Linked DNA regions of Drosophila melanogaster. The protein of the gene in region 1 purifies or fractionates together with the protein of each later gene. This does not show direct contact. Each region holds a gene or a part of one and is shown in the gene's direction. Other genes may lie near its edges.

Region 1 (4,853 bases):
AGTTATGGAAGCAAATCATAAGCGGTTCACAAACTTGGCTCTTGGCAAATACGGCTTTTAGCTTCATCTCCGTGTGGGAGGGAACTTGCGAAACGATCTCTGCGCAATCTGCTCCGTAAATATGCATCCCCAACTCTTGGGCTACGGCGCTCACAAGCTTTGATTTGCCCGATCCTCGCTCGCCTTGCAGGAGGAACACAGGAAATATGTGCTTTGACGACAGGCAGGCGGACTTTTTTGGCAGGAAAGCATCTACTGAGGAGCGCAACAGCTTATAGGGCTTTCGAAGTCCACTTGGATAGTTCTCAACGATGGCCATGCTGTCAAGCACTTGACGAGGCAGGAAACTGTGAGATGCAGGCACTTGAACAAGGTTGCTAAAGTTTTTGGCAACAATCGCTTGCAGCTCGAACTCGCTGCCCTTTGTCTCCAGGTGAATACACTTTAGGTGGACGTGGCGTAGGTGAGCGAATATCAGGTAATAGTGGGCATAAGTCGCAGTGCCCACCAACTCTGCGTTCACCTCGATGCGGTAGGTATGTCCACGATGCATGAGTCGAGGTGTATTGAAATAGTTGCTCAGGATGACCTCTGTCAGTTCGGCGGGAAGTTCATGGGGATCTGCGACTAAGTACACATGTGCTTTGGTTGCTATTCCAGGTATTGTCTGCTCATCGGCAAAATGCTCTACCTGCACCCAGCAGTTGGAGCGGATTTGAAAGCGATCCAATATGTTGCCGTAGAAGTTCTCCTGAAATTTTACACGATGTAGAATTATAGAAAATATTCCATTTATTTAGAACTAGATACCCACCTGAACGTACAGACAATTGGGTTGGCACTGTGCAGCCGGCAAGATCTGGGCCACAATCGTATGCGGCGCCTCCTGGAGCATTTGCTTGATAACCGTTTGGGTCATATTTCCTTCGTCTGAAGCTAGCGGCTTACCGATTCTTACCCTCCTGCCGCGGATAACCAAGTTGACAAAGTTGACGTCCGGCGATTCCGCATAGTTTTCGTACACCTCCTGACTGGCGAACACCAGGTGCTCCGACTTAATCTGCTCGTTCTTGATCAGCAGATCGTAGAGGCGGTTCGGAATGGGGGTCAGCAGAAACTTGCCCTTGTAATATTTGGCGTAACGCCAGTATACGGCGTATGTCAGATATCCGGGGTAGAGGAACCAGGGCCACTTGGGCGCCAGCAGCTGTATGGCCGAATTGTAGCCCTCGACTAGCTCCTGTACTCTCCCAGAGAAGCTAAATCTCGGCTGTCCTGGATCTTGTTGATCGAACGACACCGAATTCCGCTTGCCGACGACTTTTTTCTGCGGGAATTGATCACGATATTAGCTAATATGGCTTAAATGTTACATATGGACCTACCGCATCATCATTTTCATTCATTTTTTACAATAAATATGGACTAAACACAACAGAAAGCACGAGTACAAGGGTTAATTTCGAGGAGGCGGTGTCAAAGTTCAAGGAGTTGGGGGATAGGCGCCAGACAAATACACTGAAATATGCAATGGCAAGTTAATTCTGTTAATGCACAGCAAATTATTACCCTCTGCTATAAAAATTAGCTTGTTTATTTGGCCAGTTACTTTGTATTTTACCTTTTTCACAATTACTCTCCTCTTCATTACGAATGTTTTGATTCTGGTAAGATATTTGCTCAAAAAATACTAAAAGTATTCAGTCAGCTGTCCACAGTAAGACCTTTATAAGCACATCTTCAAATAATTTCTTTGACCTGCATAAAAGTTAAATATTAATTTTGTAGTAAAATGAAAGAATGAAATATGTCATTATATTTTAAGTAATTCCAAAAATTGGCAAAAAGATATAATTTATAATGTATTAATACAATTTATTTTTAGAATCCGTCTTCGCTAGTGGCTACTGTATATTTTGACTGTACTTGGTGCATTTTAGTATATTTCATTCTCCACTTGGCCGTTTTCAACCGATGCCAACCTGGTCACACTTTTCCACGCATAACAAAATAGTACACAAGTTCCATATATTTCAATTTTCCGCGAAAATGAGCCTGGAAGTGAGCAATATAAACGGGGGAAACGGTACTCAATTGTCCCACGACAAGCGTGAGCTGCTGTGCCTGCTGAAACTCATCAAAAAGTACCAGCTGAAGAGCACTGAGGAGCTGCTCTGCCAAGAGGCGAATGTGAGCAGTGTGGAATTGTCGGAAATCAGCGAAAGTGATGTTCAGCAGGTGCTGGGCGCAGTTTTGGGAGCTGGCGATGCCAACCGGGAGCGGAAACATGTCCAATCTCCGGCGCAGGGTCATAAACAGTCCGCGGTGACGGAGGCCAATGCTGCAGAGGAACTGGCCAAGTTCATCGACGACGACAGCTTTGATGCTCAGCACTATGAGCAGGCATACAAGGAGCTGCGCACTTTCGTTGAGGACTCCCTGGACATATACAAGCATGAGCTGTCCATGGTTCTGTACCCAATTCTGGTGCAGATCTACTTCAAGATCCTCGCCAGTGGACTAAGGGAGAAGGCCAAAGAATTCATTGAGAAGTACAAATGCGATCTCGACGGCTACTACATAGAGGGTCTTTTCAACCTTCTTTTGCTGTCTAAGCCCGAGGAGCTGCTGGAGAATGACCTCGTAGTAGCCATGGAGCAGGATAAGTTTGTCATTCGCATGTCCAGGGACTCGCACTCTCTGTTCAAGCGACACATTCAGGATCGCCGGCAGGAAGTGGTGGCAGATATTGTTTCCAAGTACTTGCATTTCGACACATACGAGGGCATGGCGCGCAACAAGCTGCAGTGCGTCGCCACCGCGGGCTCGCACCTCGGAGAGGCCAAGCGACAGGACAACAAAATGCGGGTGTACTACGGACTGCTCAAGGAGGTGGACTTTCAGACTCTGACCACTCCAGCGCCGGCACCAGAGGAGGAGGACGATGATCCGGATGCCCCGGATCGTCCGAAAAAGAAAAAGCCAAAAAAGGATCCCCTGCTGTCGAAAAAGTCCAAGTCGGATCCGAATGCTCCATCCATCGACAGAATTCCCCTGCCGGAACTGAAGGATTCGGACAAGTTGCTAAAGCTTAAGGCTCTCAGGGAAGCCAGCAAGCGTTTAGCCCTCAGCAAGGATCAACTGCCCTCTGCCGTCTTCTACACGGTGCTTAATTCCCATCAGGGCGTAACCTGTGCCGAGATTTCAGACGATTCCACGATGTTGGCCTGTGGATTTGGCGATTCTAGCGTGAGGATTTGGTCATTGACGCCCGCGAAGCTGCGTACGCTGAAGGATGCAGATTCCCTTCGCGAACTGGACAAGGAATCGGCGGATATCAATGTGCGTATGCTGGATGACCGAAGTGGTGAGGTAACCAGGAGCTTAATGGGTCACACCGGACCCGTATACCGCTGTGCCTTTGCCCCCGAGATGAACCTGTTGCTCTCATGTTCCGAGGACAGCACCATAAGGCTGTGGTCTCTGCTCACCTGGTCCTGCGTAGTCACCTACCGCGGGCACGTTTACCCGGTGTGGGATGTTCGCTTTGCGCCGCATGGCTACTATTTTGTTTCTTGTTCGTACGACAAAACTGCTCGTCTGTGGGCCACGGATTCCAATCAAGCGTTGCGCGTATTCGTGGGTCACTTGTCGGACGTGGATTGTGTACAATTTCATCCCAATTCCAATTATGTGGCCACCGGTTCTAGCGATCGCACGGTACGCCTGTGGGACAACATGACCGGTCAGTCGGTACGCCTGATGACGGGCCACAAGGGATCGGTGAGTTCTCTGGCCTTCTCCGCCTGCGGCCGGTATCTGGCCTCGGGTTCAGTAGATCACAATATCATCATCTGGGATCTGTCGAACGGATCCCTGGTCACCACCCTGTTGAGGCACACTAGCACTGTGACCACGATCACCTTTAGTCGCGATGGAACAGTCCTGGCTGCAGCCGGCTTGGATAACAATCTAACTCTGTGGGACTTTCACAAGGTTACCGAAGACTATATCAGCAATCACATCACTGTGTCGCACCATCAGGATGAGAACGACGAGGACGTCTACCTCATGCGTACTTTCCCCAGCAAGAACTCGCCATTTGTCAGCCTGCACTTTACGCGCCGAAATCTCCTGATGTGCGTGGGTCTATTCAAGAGTTAGGAGCACAGATAAGCTTATTTGGTATACGTAATGTAGTGTTAAGGAATGCTCGGAATGTTTAGGATTAATGTTTTGTATTTCGTTTGTGACCCATCCCCCCTGAAATGTCGATTAGTTGTTTAAGCATAAAAGTGTAAAGTGCATATATGCGCAAGTTATCAATAAATTTTAATTAATATAAAAGTCAATCATTAAGGTTCTTATATATAATTCATATTTATTTAAAAGTCATATAAAGCATATACACAGATAAATACGTAGCTGTACGATTTGCCTACTCTGCATCAGGGATTCCAAACGTTCGGCGCACGGCTATCGAGTTCTTGATGTTAAAGATCGCACAGCGCGGAGGCTTCTCTCCGCCGAAGGCCAGGGTGTAGGGATCCTCGGGGCACTGGCGCATGCACTGCAAGCGACCCATGTTGAACTCGTGCTCGTAGACGTGCTTTGCCTCTGTGCCATCAAAGTTCCACACCTTTAGGGTGCCCTCCGTGGAGGTGGAGGTCAGCAGATTAGGCTTCTGGTTGTTGAAGCACACACCGGAGATTTCCTCGTTGTGGGCCTTTACGGACCACAGCAGTTGTCCAGGAGAACGTTTGTCGGCGTAATGCAAGGTGCCATCGTTGGTGCCCACGATGAAGTAGTCGGTCTGTGTGGGATGCCACAGGACCTTCTCCACTTCACCGTCA
Region 2 (4,670 bases), on another chromosome or scaffold:
GACTGCTGATAGAATGTCTTGGTGGCGTCGTATTGCATGGCACTTCGATAGTCGCCGTAGCCACCATAACCCCCCGCCCCAGGGCCAGAGGTGGCGCCAGCGCCCGCTCCTGCTGCTCCGCCATAACCACCCTGTCCGGCGGCCACAGCGGCATTCTGATAGGCGGCCGCATTCGCGTAGGTGGCATTGGTTACCGCCGGGTACGAGACTTGGCCCGTATTGTACTGGGTGCCGCCGTAGTTAAACCCGGCGTAGTTGTTGTTGGCCATTGTCGCGGTGCGCTGCAATTACGAAAATCGAATTTGTTTGACAATCTGTCTGCGGTTTACTAGTTTACCATTGGCATTTGCATTTGCATTTTGGACCTGCCCCCATCCCCACCAAGTGCTCTACTTACATTAGCTGTCCTATCCGACTGACTGTCAATATTTATGGGACTTCGAATGCGGATTTATTCGGGAATTTATATGTGCTTTCCGAGTAATAGCCTGTTTATAGCTGTAAAAGCAAAGTGGTCTTAGTCACGTCATGTTGAGAAAGGAGCTCCCCCCACCACTTTCCCATCCGTTTTTCATCTGCTTTTCTCTATCGATTTTTACCCCGCAGCTTTGGACGCACTTTTCGCGTGTCTGGCCCACATGCGAGTGAGCACACGTGGCGATCTCTTTTCCAACGGCATTTTAGCCCTAGTTGTGCATGGTTAAAAAACAGTTAATGCAAATGGCAATTACCTGAAATCGGTTAAATAAAATTTTTCTTCCGTCTCTATGGGCCGGTACTAGTGTGACCGCAGCGTAATCGGATAATCATACTATGTTGAGCCCGACTTGAAACAAATACCACTTTTTATTTTTGGAAGTTTTTGGAAAATATACCATTACACTATATATGTTGCTTATTTAACGGAATTTGTTTAATATTAAAATTGGTATGGTCTATTTTATTAAGACCGCTATTTGTACGATATGTATTTAACTCGCTCTACAGAATTATTTTGCCCGTTGTGCTGAAGTTTAGCATTTCAAAGATACCGAAAACTAACAAAAATACCATCACGTTGGTGGTGGGGCATGTAGTTCGGTATCAAAGTGGAACTATCGATTGTTTGACCGTTACAAAGTACTACTCCTTCGTTTGAATATATATATGATTTAAGTATATGAGCAAATAGCGTTTAAATATAAAAAAATAATAACATTTTTGAGCATTTTCTTCAATTCTGTAATTACCTAACATTCAGCTTTAAACAGTACTCTAATAATAGTTTTAGTAGTTTCTAATTTTTGAGCGTATTCTTCATTTATTCAATTACCTAACATTCAGCTTTAAACAGTACTCTAATAATAGTTCAAAGGATTTAAAATGTATCGTATTCGAATGTATTAAAATAAATTATTTTGATCCTTAAAAATTGTGGCTTATTACCCATATAAAAACTAATGAGCATATAATTAATTTGGTATGCGGCTAAAATCCGATGGCATCAAAATGCCAGCAAACGTTTTTGGTTTTGAAAATGTACGCAACAAGGCTATAAAAAATCGACATGATATCCAAGTCACTACTTCTTTTCTAGTATTTTAATTCGGTATCGCGTTTAACACGACGATATTGTCGCCAACGGTCACACTGCACAACTCGTCCGTACCTCGGCGGTCCGTAAACAATATTTACTCGGTTTTCGGCTAAATCGCCAGAGAAACGCAACGGGAAATCGTTTAAAATGCGCCCCAGTGCACCGAGTTTGAACGCAAAATGAATTGAAGTGAGTGCATCTGCCACAGGGCCCAGAAAATTTCCCCCGACATTGCAGGCTGTACAAAACCTATACTGAAACACACGCACACAGTCGCACAGACACGGACGTGGGTTTATGCCACCACCCGCTGGCCACTAAAGTAGAAATTACTAATACTACGGCTGGCACGATGCTCCATATTGCCACTGGAGACATGTACAAGATGCATTTGTTTTCTTTTTGTTTTAAATATTTTTATGCGGATTTTCGAAAAATATGAATTTTTCCTAATAGAAATCATCAATTATTAAGTGCTCCACTTTCGAGTTGAACTTTTTTTTAAATTTAGTGCATTCACGAATATTGCGCACTCGCCACCCGCATAAACGAGCGGCATTGCCAGATCGTTGGTTACGTGTTTTTCGCACGCTATCTGGCAACGTCCACCAGCCTCGATTTTCGCTTTGCACGCGCATTCGTGAAAATGGCGGCGTTCTGGCACCGTCGCTGCCAAATTTTTTGTACATCAAAATAATCAAAATAAAGCATTCTTCCAGTGCTCAACAATCAGTCCGTGCGAGCACGCGCGAGTGTGTGTGTGCGCAGGAAAACCCGCCGATCGGGAAAAGTGTAGAAAGGCTTAGCGGCGCAAACAAAAGGCAGCGAATTAGCGAGATAACACACACGCGACAACGACTGCAACGGATGCGCCAGGAGAAAGGCCGACGACAGTGACGGCAAAGGCGAGTGCGAGTGAGCCAGCGCAGCACCAATTCAGCGGAGCACCCGCTTTTTTGGCCAAGGTGAATGCGATTACCTGTGCGCGGCATCCAGGTGTACGCAGCATCTGGTTTATGGCGCACGGCCGCCAGGTAGCCGGCGGTCAGGTAGCACCTCCACCGCCTACCTGTTTCTCCACCGCCTCGAGCCGAATCTTGTATAAATACTAAAAGCGCCTCCCCTTGCATTGCAGTTCGCTTCTGGAGCGCACAGCATGCAACAACTCCGCCAACACCAACACAGGATGTGCGCAACTAGTTGATCGGAACAGGATCGCTCGCCCACACCAACACACAGAAGTCAGTGGAATAGGAGAAACACACTCGCCAATAACATAAACACCACACAGCACGATGAACACCAGCCAGACAGCTGCCGGCAATCGCATCACCTTCACCAGCCAGCCGCTGCCCAATGGCACCATCAGCATAGCCGGCAATCCCGGCGCGGTCATCTCCACGGCCCAGCTACCGAATACCACCACCATCAAGACGATCCAGGCGGGGATCGGTGGTCAGCATCAGGGACTTCAGCAGGTGCATCATGTCCAACAGCAGCAGCAGTCGCAACAGCAACAACAGCAGCAACAGCAGACGCAATCCGTAGGTGCCACCCAAACACAAACCCTAGTTATTAAATCCAACCACCATGCTGTCACCCTGCCGGCGGGTCTAGTCTCAAGTGCACCAGCAGGAATCGTAACCATGACCAAGACCATCAATCAGGTATCCATATTAAAGCTAAACCCACTCTTCGGGCGCTAGGCGATCGCAACTCGGGCGTATCACTTCGTCCAAATCTGATCCCCAATCAAAACCCCCTCAATTCCTCGCTCGAATCGGATAGTAGTGGCCGCACACACTTTGGTTGTATACTTTTATTATGCTTTCATCTGTCTACCTCGCTGCCCGAAATTCCCATATCCTTATCCAAATGGGGTTAGTCCCAGGCTTGATAACGTATTTTACGCTTAAAAAATATCCTTAATTCATTAATGTGAAATCTGAAACTTATATCTGAGTTGAAATCTGAAACTTATATCTGAGTTTGTTGCACTCATTTTTGTACTTTTATTTAAAATTAATTTCTTTTTTTACGAATGTCATATCAATTCACTTCATTAGAACTTAAAGCAGTTTAATCACCATAAAAGACATATCTTTAATTTGAAATACTTTATCCCAATGCCGAAAAGTTTCCCAAAGATCAAATCCCTAACAACTGTTCAAAAACACGCACTTGTTCAACAGAAACCTTATTCTACACCAATATCCAAACCATTACATTTGTAGAACTATTGCTTTCAATGCTCGCTTTAAATAGAACAAGATATAGTAGATTATACGCCTTCAAATTTGGTTAGCACAGAGAGAATCAGTTAAACAACTTATTTCCGCACTAATTGGGGTCCTTTGCCGAGCCAACTGCTGCATGATGTAGGCTAATTTAGAATCCCGCAAAACCTCTTAATGCATCCTTTGGTCCAAATAGACTTTGAAAATGTGATGAGATGAATTGATAGACTAATGATAATGTTGCGTATTTGCCAGGCCGGTCAACCGCTGCTCAATTCAATGCTGCCGGCTGGCGTGGTGGTGGGCATGCGCCAACAGGCGCCGTCACAGCAGCAGCAGAAGAATGTGCCCACCAACCCGCTCAGTCGCGTGGTGATCAACTCCCACATGGCGGGCGTGAGACCGCAGAGTCCATCGGTGAGTATGAAGGATAATATTGCTATTACTATGGTTGTTGTGGTGGGTTCTTCCCTACTAACTCACAGAGCTCCCTAACCCAGCCACGCTCCTCACAAACACGCATGTGCACAGCCCACCATTCACTCACACCATACACCATACACACCATGCTCCAGCAGATGAAAACCGAGTCTCTCTGTCTTCTCTCTCTACTTTTAGATAACTTTAAGCACACTTAATACGGGTCAGACCCCGGCATTGCTGGTCAAGACGGATAACGGATTCCAGCTGTTGCGCGTGGGCACGACGACGGGTCCGCCGACGGTGACACAGACTATAACCAACACCAGCAATAACAGCAACACGACAAGCACCACAAACCATCCCACAACCACACAGATCCGTCTGCAAACTGTGCCGGCTGCAGCTGTAAGTAGATACCAACAACAACAACAACA
Region 3 (3,588 bases), about 11 Mb from region 1:
CATTGGCTATCTTGTGCACCAGGTGCCACCTTTGTTAGCTTGTTTTGGTTGAGGAACAGCTTCATCAGCGTCTCGCACTTCTCTATGATGCCCGGAACGTCGGAGATTTGGTAGTGGGACAGATTCAGGGAGAATGCCTTTTTGTATATGGCATCCTCGCAATTGGCCAGCACGTAGTTGTTGCGGAAAAACTGACAAACCTTCTCCATGTCGCCCTTATTAAGTGTTTACTTCTGCAGCACTTGAATTTGGTTGTCTTGGGTTCCAAACTATTTCACACTCTTTGGAAAACCTACTCTGTTTTTGGCGCTAGTAGCTTAGTTTTCAGGCCTTGTCTTTTGTAGTTTCGAACTGTCGCCCGATTTGCGCGTTTTTTCGTTTGTTTTGAGTGCATGTTATATAACGATTCTCGGAGTCTATATATGCACAAAAATCTCTATTTGCTGCACTCTCTTTTGCCTGCCTTCTCTTCCCAAGCTGATGAACTAAAATTAAAAATTTCATTTCCTGGGTAAAGGCATGCGCAAAATGCTAGATATTGGCAATAGGGTAGTTCTATTTTAAAATTGGTACATTGTCGCTTGTAATGTTTGTCGCACAAGGAAAGCTCAACATTTGACATTACCCATTCTCAGCTGCTAATTGGCAAAAAGCTCGTCTTTCTATCGGTTTATATAAATAGATTGTAAATTACCGAGCCGCTCTCAGTTGAAATTGAGCTCAGTGACTGGAAACTGCATCATGAGATCGTGTACTTTACTTGTTTTCATAGTGAGCACGCTGTTGTTTGCCGGTAAGTCAAGTGTGGGAACCACTAGAACCGCCACATCCATTCAACACTCTCTCTCTATTTTTCTCCAGTGACAAATGCGCAGCAGAATTATGATGGAAGAAATGGTCCCCATGAGTTCGGCACACCTGGAAACGGCATTTACATACGGGGTCAGAACGAAGGACCCTACACAGTGCCCGAAATGGGAGGAACGTTCCAAAACTCACCCTCAAGTGGGCAGCATTCCTACACCGATGAGCACGGAAATACTTACACCCATTCCTCAACGGCAACTGTCACAAGTTTGGCCTATTCAACCTTCGGTTTCAGCATGGGCGGCGTTCTCATTTTTCTAATTAGTTTAATAACCATTTAATTGCACTTTCCAAGTGCAAAAGTTCCAATTAATTAATTTTTAACACATCGTTTTTCAGTTCACGCCCACGAAAATCTATTGCTGAAACTGCATAGATGAGAATAACCATTTTCCTTCTAAGTATTATGCACTATTATTTATTCGCTATTTCTTTTGTTCACCTTATACACAAATTATTTAGCTATTAAACAGAAGTACAACAAAGTATACTTGATTCTTTTGAAAAGTGCGCCATTTTAGTTATCGATTGGCAACAACGTAAGGGAGAGATTTAACGTATAAGAAATATTTGAAACGTTGAAGTGTGATTTTTAACTAAACATTAAAATACAATCAAAGATAATTATTGTTATAATTATTTTCATACATATTTTCAATGAAATACTTAAATGCTAAGAACGTAACGATAAACGTAAGACCCAGCCAGCTATCGATAGTTGCGGCAAAATGCAGCGCTGACTTTGCCATTCTCACAAAACGAGCCACAGGTACAACGACGAACGCGGTTGCATTACATTATTATTATTATTACTATTAAATTAATTTCCCGCTCTGTGGGTATGCAATTAAAACCCAAAGTTGAGCCCGTTCAGCAATCTTGAATTGAGTCACTGAAAAATTCACCGGAGTCCACAATAAACCATCTGTAAGATGGACCAAATGCTAAGCCCCAACTTCTCGATTCCGAGCATCGGAACGCCGCTCCACCAGATGGAAGCGGACCAGCAGATAGTGGCCAATCCTGTGTACCATCCTCCGGCTGTATCGCAGCCGGATTCGTTGATGCCGGCACCCGGTTCCAGTTCCGTGCAGCACCAGCAGCAGCAACAGCAGTCGGACGCCAGTGGGGGATCAGGTCTCTTTGGCCACGAACCATCGCTCCCGCTGGCGCACAAACAAATGCAGAGTTACCAGCCATCGGCCTCCTATCAGCAGCAGCAGCAGCAACAGCAGCTCCAGAGTCAGGCGCCCGGCGGCGGTGGGAGCACTCCGCAGTCCATGATGCAGCCGCAGACGCCGCAGAGCATGATGGCCCACATGATGCCCATGAGTGAGCGGAGTGTGGGCGGTTCGGGGGCCGGAGGTGGCGGAGATGCCCTGAGCAACATCCACCAGACGATGGGCCCCTCCACGCCGATGACACCAGCCACACCAGGTTCCGCTGATCCCGGTATTGTGCCACAACTTCAGAACATCGTGTCCACGGTTAATCTGTGCTGCAAACTGGACCTCAAGAAAATAGCATTGCATGCGAGAAACGCCGAGTACAATCCTAAGCGATTTGCGGCTGTGATTATGCGAATCCGAGAGCCCCGGACCACCGCCCTTATTTTCAGCTCCGGCAAGATGGTGTGCACAGGGGCAAAGAGTGAGGACGACTCCAGACTGGCAGCGAGAAAGTATGCGCGCATCATCCAAAAGCTCGGTTTCCCTGTAAGACAAGACTTTACATTTCCTTTCTCTTCCCGGCGAATCTCTAACGCTTTCTCTCCCGCAGGCAAAGTTCCTCGACTTTAAGATTCAAAACATGGTCGGCTCCTGCGATGTCAAGTTCCCCATACGCTTGGAAGGCCTGGTGCTGACCCATTGCAACTTCAGCAGCTACGAGCCTGAGCTATTTCCCGGCTTAATCTATCGTATGGTGCGACCTCGAATCGTGCTCCTCATCTTCGTGTCCGGAAAGGTGGTGCTCACTGGAGCAAAGGTGCGGCAGGAGATCTACGATGCCTTCGACAAGATATTCCCCATTTTAAAGAAGTTCAAGAAGCAGTCATAAATAGGATAGCGCTTTATTAGTTCTGTACGTGTACGTTTTAAGGTCGGTAGTTCTGGAAGTCTGATCATATGAGTGGGAGCAGCCTGGCGAGCAGCTCCGATCGAGAATAAACCACAAAGTAATTTAGCTGTACGGACAGGCTTTTATTATTATTTTTTTTCCGTTAATTACTATTCGTAAAAATTTAGACAAGGACTATGAACGCGAATGAGGTTCCTACAGGCACTGGGCCATCAGGGCGCCCACGTTGTCGAACTCGATCTTCTCCGTAATGTTCTTCGTCTTGATTTTGTCGTCCTGCATGGCCACGATGACGAGTCCCTGGCCCTGGTTCTTCCAGCCATTGCGCTTGATCCAGCTCTCCAGCGTCGAGTCCTCGATGCCGCCGAGCAGCTCCTTAAGCAGGTCCTTGCGAATTGTCTGGAATGTGGTGCCCACCACATGCGAGACGAACTTGCGAATTGAATCGTGGAAGCCGGTGATGTGGCGGAACATGTTGCGGTTCACCTCGGCCCGCTGCCAGAAGAGGGTGAAGTCCGCCCGCTCCAGTATGTCGGCGAGGTCGATGATTGTCTGCACATTCTCGTCCTTCATCTGCTGGGGCAGCAGCAGGCACTTGGCCATCACGAAATCCGTGTGCGGCAGGCTGGTCAGTGACTTCAG
Region 4 (4,608 bases), 2.1 Mb from region 1:
TTACTGGAGTGATTACAAAAAAAAAACAAATCCCTGCCTAAAACACCACTTAAATTAAAATTCATTGGGGTTTTTTGACCATCACTATTGTGAAAGATATGATAACAGAATGCAATTCTATTATGATTCCGTAAAAGTTCACGCAAAGACAATTCTTGAGTGCATATTTTGTCTAGACGATTCATACAAAAGGCTAAAAATAGACCAAAAAGCACATTTTCAATAAAATGCAAGCTTTCGACATAAGGTCCGATCGGTAAACAATTTTATAGTAACATGAACTTAAAAAAAAGTTGGAAACAAACTAAGACAAAACAAAAATATTTGTTGATTGAAAAATATAATAACATTTAAATGTTATGTATTCAATGATAATTTTAGTTGTTTGGCTTGAAGGGTACTTTTACAATTGTGTACTTATCAAACTTTTAAATATAAAATTTTAATATTTTTACAGTTTTAATATACTCTAAGATTACTACTGTATTTCTTCTATGAGAATAAAAATCAATCTTTATTATTGTTTGGGATGAAACTTTAAAAACATTTTGTAATTTATTAAGGCTAGTTTAAGAAATGGTTGAAATATAAGAATAAGAAATATAATAAGAAATATATTAATTTAAAACCTCCTGACATCTCCGATTTTACTGTGGGCAAACCAATCAATAAAAGTATTATAATAGAATGGAAAATGAATAAGAAATTAAAAAATTTTAAAAAGAAGTTTTCCCTGCAATAAAACTGAAAGAAAAAATCTTTAGACTTTTTGATCTGCGAACTTCGAAGACTTCAGAATAGTATTGGGTGAGTACGCTACTATTTAGAGGATAGGATCATTATAAATAAAAATATGCAAAATAAACTCTTAACTCCCACGGCAATGATAATAATGGTGTTAATTTGCATGGAAAGTATCGTCATGGTACGGTTCCTTCGTTCGCAATTTATCCGTTAGATCTGCATTGTTACGTTACGTAGAGCAGTCTAACGGTTAATTCGCCAAGACGGAAACGAAGTTGCTGCTTTTATTGTTGTTGGCTGCCACTGATTGGAGAGCTCTTTCGCGCTCACATTGTGGTTGTTGCTGTTGCTGCCACTTCTGTGGGGGAAAAAAGGAAAAGGCAAGGGAAAAGAAGCAAAAAGCATTTCCAATTTGGAGGCATTAAATAGCGTGGGAGCGAGAGGGGTGCAGATATAGACGTACGCCTACGTGCAAATATGCGATTTCTGCTGACGGAAATTGCAAGTTGCGATTACATAGGCACTCATTCTACCTTGATTGCACATGGTCTTATGTATTCCGAAGTGTTTGCAGATGGATAAGAGCCCGTAAGAGTTGTAAAACCTCTGCCATTTATGTGCAGCCCTTTGTTCTCTATCCCCCTCCCTCTTCAATTTTCCGCTTGTACATACAGAAACGAACAAAGAAACGGCTGGCAAAGCAAAAGAAAAGAGCCAAACGCCGACGTCAATGTCGGCGTCGACGCAGGCAGCGGCAGCGACCGACGATGTGGCGACCGAAAAACAGAGTCAGCGAAGAGCGCCTGTTTTAGTGCAACACCAACATTCAACGAGAGCGGTTCGTCGACGCTGTGCGGAAAGATTACAGAGCGAACGAGAGAGACCGAGCCAGAGCGACGACGCCCCGCAACGAGAACAACAAAAGAGCCGAGTGCGCGTGCAAGAGAGATAGCTGACTTGTTGCCCAGTGAGAGGCCGGCGAGAGCGAGACGGACGATCAGTGTGCGAGCGACGAAAAAGAAAACAAAGATACTCGCCCAGAGCAGTTGGCTACCTGTCTTTGGCCTGGTATATAAGTGTGTGTATGCGAGAGAGAGTAAATAGCGGGCAACGCAGCAGTACATAAACGAAAAGCAGCGTGGTCGTTAGTCGAACAAAAACTCTCAAAGCGAACGGACGTGTGCGGTCGGTTGTTTCGATACTCCTGCTTTATCGCTATCCAAACAGAGTGAAGCGACCACTATAAATAACGAAACAAGAAACATGTGTTTATATTACAACCAGAGCTCAAAGCTTCAGTTGCATAATAATAATAATAATAAAAAAGCAATCTGAAGCCAATTTCCTTTGTGTGACAAATGCCGTAGCAGCAACAACAGAAGCACAACACAACTACGTCTGCTGGCTTATGTACGTCGCGCGCGCTTGTGTGTGTGTGGGGCAGAAAACATAGAGCAAAGCATAATACACAATAAAGGTGCCCGCGAAAGCAGAGCAGCCGAAAGTGCCAGCGCGTGTTGGTGTGGTTTGAATGTGCAGGCGAAGTGAAGAAGTAGAAAGAAAATAAAATAAAATAAAAGTGAAGTGGAGCATAGTGAAGAAAGAGAAGCAGAAACGCTGACTCAAAACTCAAGTGTGGATTATTTACTTGGATTATTCCTCTTGCCATTGGATTATTTATGTATACAAGGCGACCACCGCGATGCCAATTAACTGGCTGGATTATTAGTGGATTAAAGATTGGATACAAAGGTACATGATTGGCGTTAATCAACACTGCTCTCGACCGGCAGCTGTTGCGCTCTCCCCCCACCAACCACAGCCCCTCTTCTGTTTTCTCTTGATGACCCCCTCTCTTTCTTTCTCCTTTTGTCCCAGCAAGTAAGAATTTCGATTGGACACACGGCAATTGAAAAAGGGGAGCATGAGAATATGAGCGTGTGTGACTGATTTTTTTTTACTGCTCTTTCATTTAGCAACGTTTTTTGTTTTATGTTTATGTACTTGTTTCTTTGAATGAAAGCAATATGCGAGTGTGTGTGTGTGCGTGCTTGTGAAAGAGGAGATAAAGCCGCAGTCTCGGTTCTGCATTCTCCGAATTTTCGCTGGGTTGTTGTTTTTTCTGTTCCCTGTCACAGTCTCGCGTTTCCCTTCTTTCAACATCCCTTCGCATCCCTACCCACACACACACACACAAACATACGCGAGCATATAAACACACGCACACCACACACAAATAAGAAATTCCGCTGCTTTTTTTTTTATTATCCTTTTCATGTTGGTACTCACTCACATTTTTTTGCGCGCGCGAGAATCCCTGAGACTTTAAACACGGCAATGGAATGGGTTCGGTAAAATAAGAAGGGAAAGGGCCAACAGAAGGGTTCCTCTTTTCGCACAGCACTTAAAAGTGATGTAAAAAGGATTTAAAGAGGCCTGCTGGCAATTTCTTTTCGCCCTCTCCCATATACAGTCATTCATATTCCATTGCCATATTTTCTGTACACAAATATAATTTTCCATATTCTGTGTGCCCCCGGAGTTGAAAAAGTTTTTCCGAAAAGTTTACCGTATGTACCTTGACTTTTTACTGGCGCGTTGATGCAAAAACAACTTGAAGTTGTTTGAAATACACATTTTGTTCGACGCCCCCACAGATCCGCCCCCCACTTTCGATGTACTTGGCATCTGGTTAAAACTCCACTCGGCACTCTTCACTCTCCCCCCTCCACCCTTCCATCCATAATAAAACAAAGCACCCCTGTGCAACTCTGCTCCCCCCTCTTTTGATCCCAAAAGTGCTGTGCATTTCAATATATTCGACGTAGGCATTCCCATGGCAACTACAACATCCATTATCGAGGGCCCCCACATCCATCGACTGATTGCAAATAATAGCTGCCAGATTGCGACTCCTTTCTGTCTACTGCTCAAGTCCCACAAGCTTTAATTTGGGACATCATGTCTGAGTTAAATGCATTTTGATTTCTTTGAGCTAAAGCGTTCTCTAACAAATTAAAGTCAAAGCATATTCACTAAACTCTAAAAATTGAAATGATCTTTAAGTTTCGATGTTCATGCAACAACATATTTGTTTATTTTACTTAATAAGTTCTTGTCTTTGATCATTTATATTGAGTCAGCGTACTTGGCAACATCATTAAAATATTTTCTGAACAGATCTCTTATGACGATCACTGTAGAAACTTTATCACCATTTCAACTATATTAAAACTGATTCACGAAGAATGATGCAAAAGAGAAGATTGCAGTGAGGAAAAATACGATCCCACCGAGTTCATTAACTCTACCAGTTTTCCCAGAAAGTGTATATTTCCCTTGCCTCCATTATTCTATCGTAAACAGCGAGGGGCGAGTGGAGCTTTAAGCTTCTTCGCGCACCAACGAGGCTATACCGATATAGCTTCGGCTTATTGCTTTCTGCGGCTCAGCGTCTGATTTATTTATAATCTTCAGCACGCTCTCTTCTCGAGTCGATTTACATTTTCCATTTCACATTTTCCATGCGCTCCTTTATTCGCATTTAATTTTAACTTCTGGCATTATCTATTTTGCAGATTGACGCTTGTGCGAAAAACAAAAGCGAATTTTTAGCGGCGAGAGTGTATTATTACTATGATGACGCCAGAATCGAAAGCAATACAGCCGGCAGCAGCAACAACAAAGCAAACAGCAGAAGCAACAGCAACAACAACAATGGCTCACACACAACAAAAGTCGCAGTTGTCAACGTTGGCGAAAACAACAACGACAACGGCAACGAATAAGGCGGCCAAAAGCGTTGTCAGCAATGCAAATAGCAGTGGCAACAATTCGAGCAAAAAGCTGGCTTTGTCTCAGTCT

What was found.
Region 2: the proteins of Taf5 (region 1) and Taf4 purify together in Drosophila melanogaster (affinity purification with western blotting; 3 studies listed by BioGRID). This does not show direct contact.
Region 3: the proteins of Taf5 (region 1) and Tbp purify together in Drosophila melanogaster (affinity purification with western blotting; 4 studies listed by BioGRID). This does not show direct contact.
Region 4: the proteins of Taf5 (region 1) and Psc purify together in Drosophila melanogaster (affinity purification with western blotting, with the first as the bait; one study listed by BioGRID). This does not show direct contact.

What each region holds. Positions count from the first base shown.
Region 1 is NT_033778.4:10,876,802-10,881,654, reverse strand, and holds Taf5 (TBP-associated factor 5), read left to right. Parts: upstream 1-1,981; 5' UTR 1,982-2,049; coding exon 2,050-4,164; 3' UTR 4,165-4,343; downstream 4,344-4,853. Other genes in the region: Pex6 (peroxin 6), read right to left, coding at 1-751, 815-1,327, 1,622-1,648; nclb (no child left behind), read right to left, coding at 4,439-4,853. UniProt on the Drosophila melanogaster protein: TFIID is a multimeric protein complex that plays a central role in mediating promoter responses to various activators and repressors. May play a role in helping to anchor Taf4 within the TFIID complex.
Region 2 is NT_037436.4:16,111,601-16,116,270, forward strand, and holds the start of Taf4 (TBP-associated factor 4), read left to right. Parts: upstream 1-1,611; 5' UTR 1,612-1,765; intron 1,766-2,189; exon of another isoform or gene 2,190-2,284; 5' UTR 2,285-2,541; intron 2,542-2,707; exon of another isoform or gene 2,708-2,711; 5' UTR 2,712-2,871; coding exon 2,872-3,243; intron 3,244-4,068; coding exon 4,069-4,230; intron 4,231-4,431; coding exon 4,432-4,670. Other genes in the region: Zn72D (Zinc-finger protein at 72D), read right to left, coding at 1-269. UniProt on the Drosophila melanogaster protein: TFIID is a multimeric protein complex that plays a central role in mediating promoter responses to various activators and repressors.
Region 3 is NT_033778.4:21,685,664-21,689,251, reverse strand, and holds Tbp (TATA binding protein), read left to right. Parts: upstream 1-1,609; 5' UTR 1,610-1,799; coding exon 1,800-2,582; intron 2,583-2,646; coding exon 2,647-2,925; 3' UTR 2,926-3,060; downstream 3,061-3,588. Other genes in the region: CG10307 (uncharacterized protein), read right to left, coding at 30-209; BaraC (baramicin C), read left to right, coding at 742-793, 862-1,148; eIF3k (eukaryotic translation initiation factor 3 subunit k), read right to left, coding at 3,142-3,588. UniProt on the Drosophila melanogaster protein: General transcription factor that functions at the core of the DNA-binding multiprotein factor TFIID.
Region 4 is NT_033778.4:12,977,936-12,982,543, reverse strand, and holds the start of Psc (posterior sex combs), read left to right. Parts: upstream 1-1,549; 5' UTR 1,550-2,496; intron 2,497-4,322; 5' UTR 4,323-4,380; coding exon 4,381-4,608. UniProt on the Drosophila melanogaster protein: Polycomb group (PcG) protein. PcG proteins act by forming multiprotein complexes, which are required to maintain the transcriptionally repressive state of homeotic genes throughout development.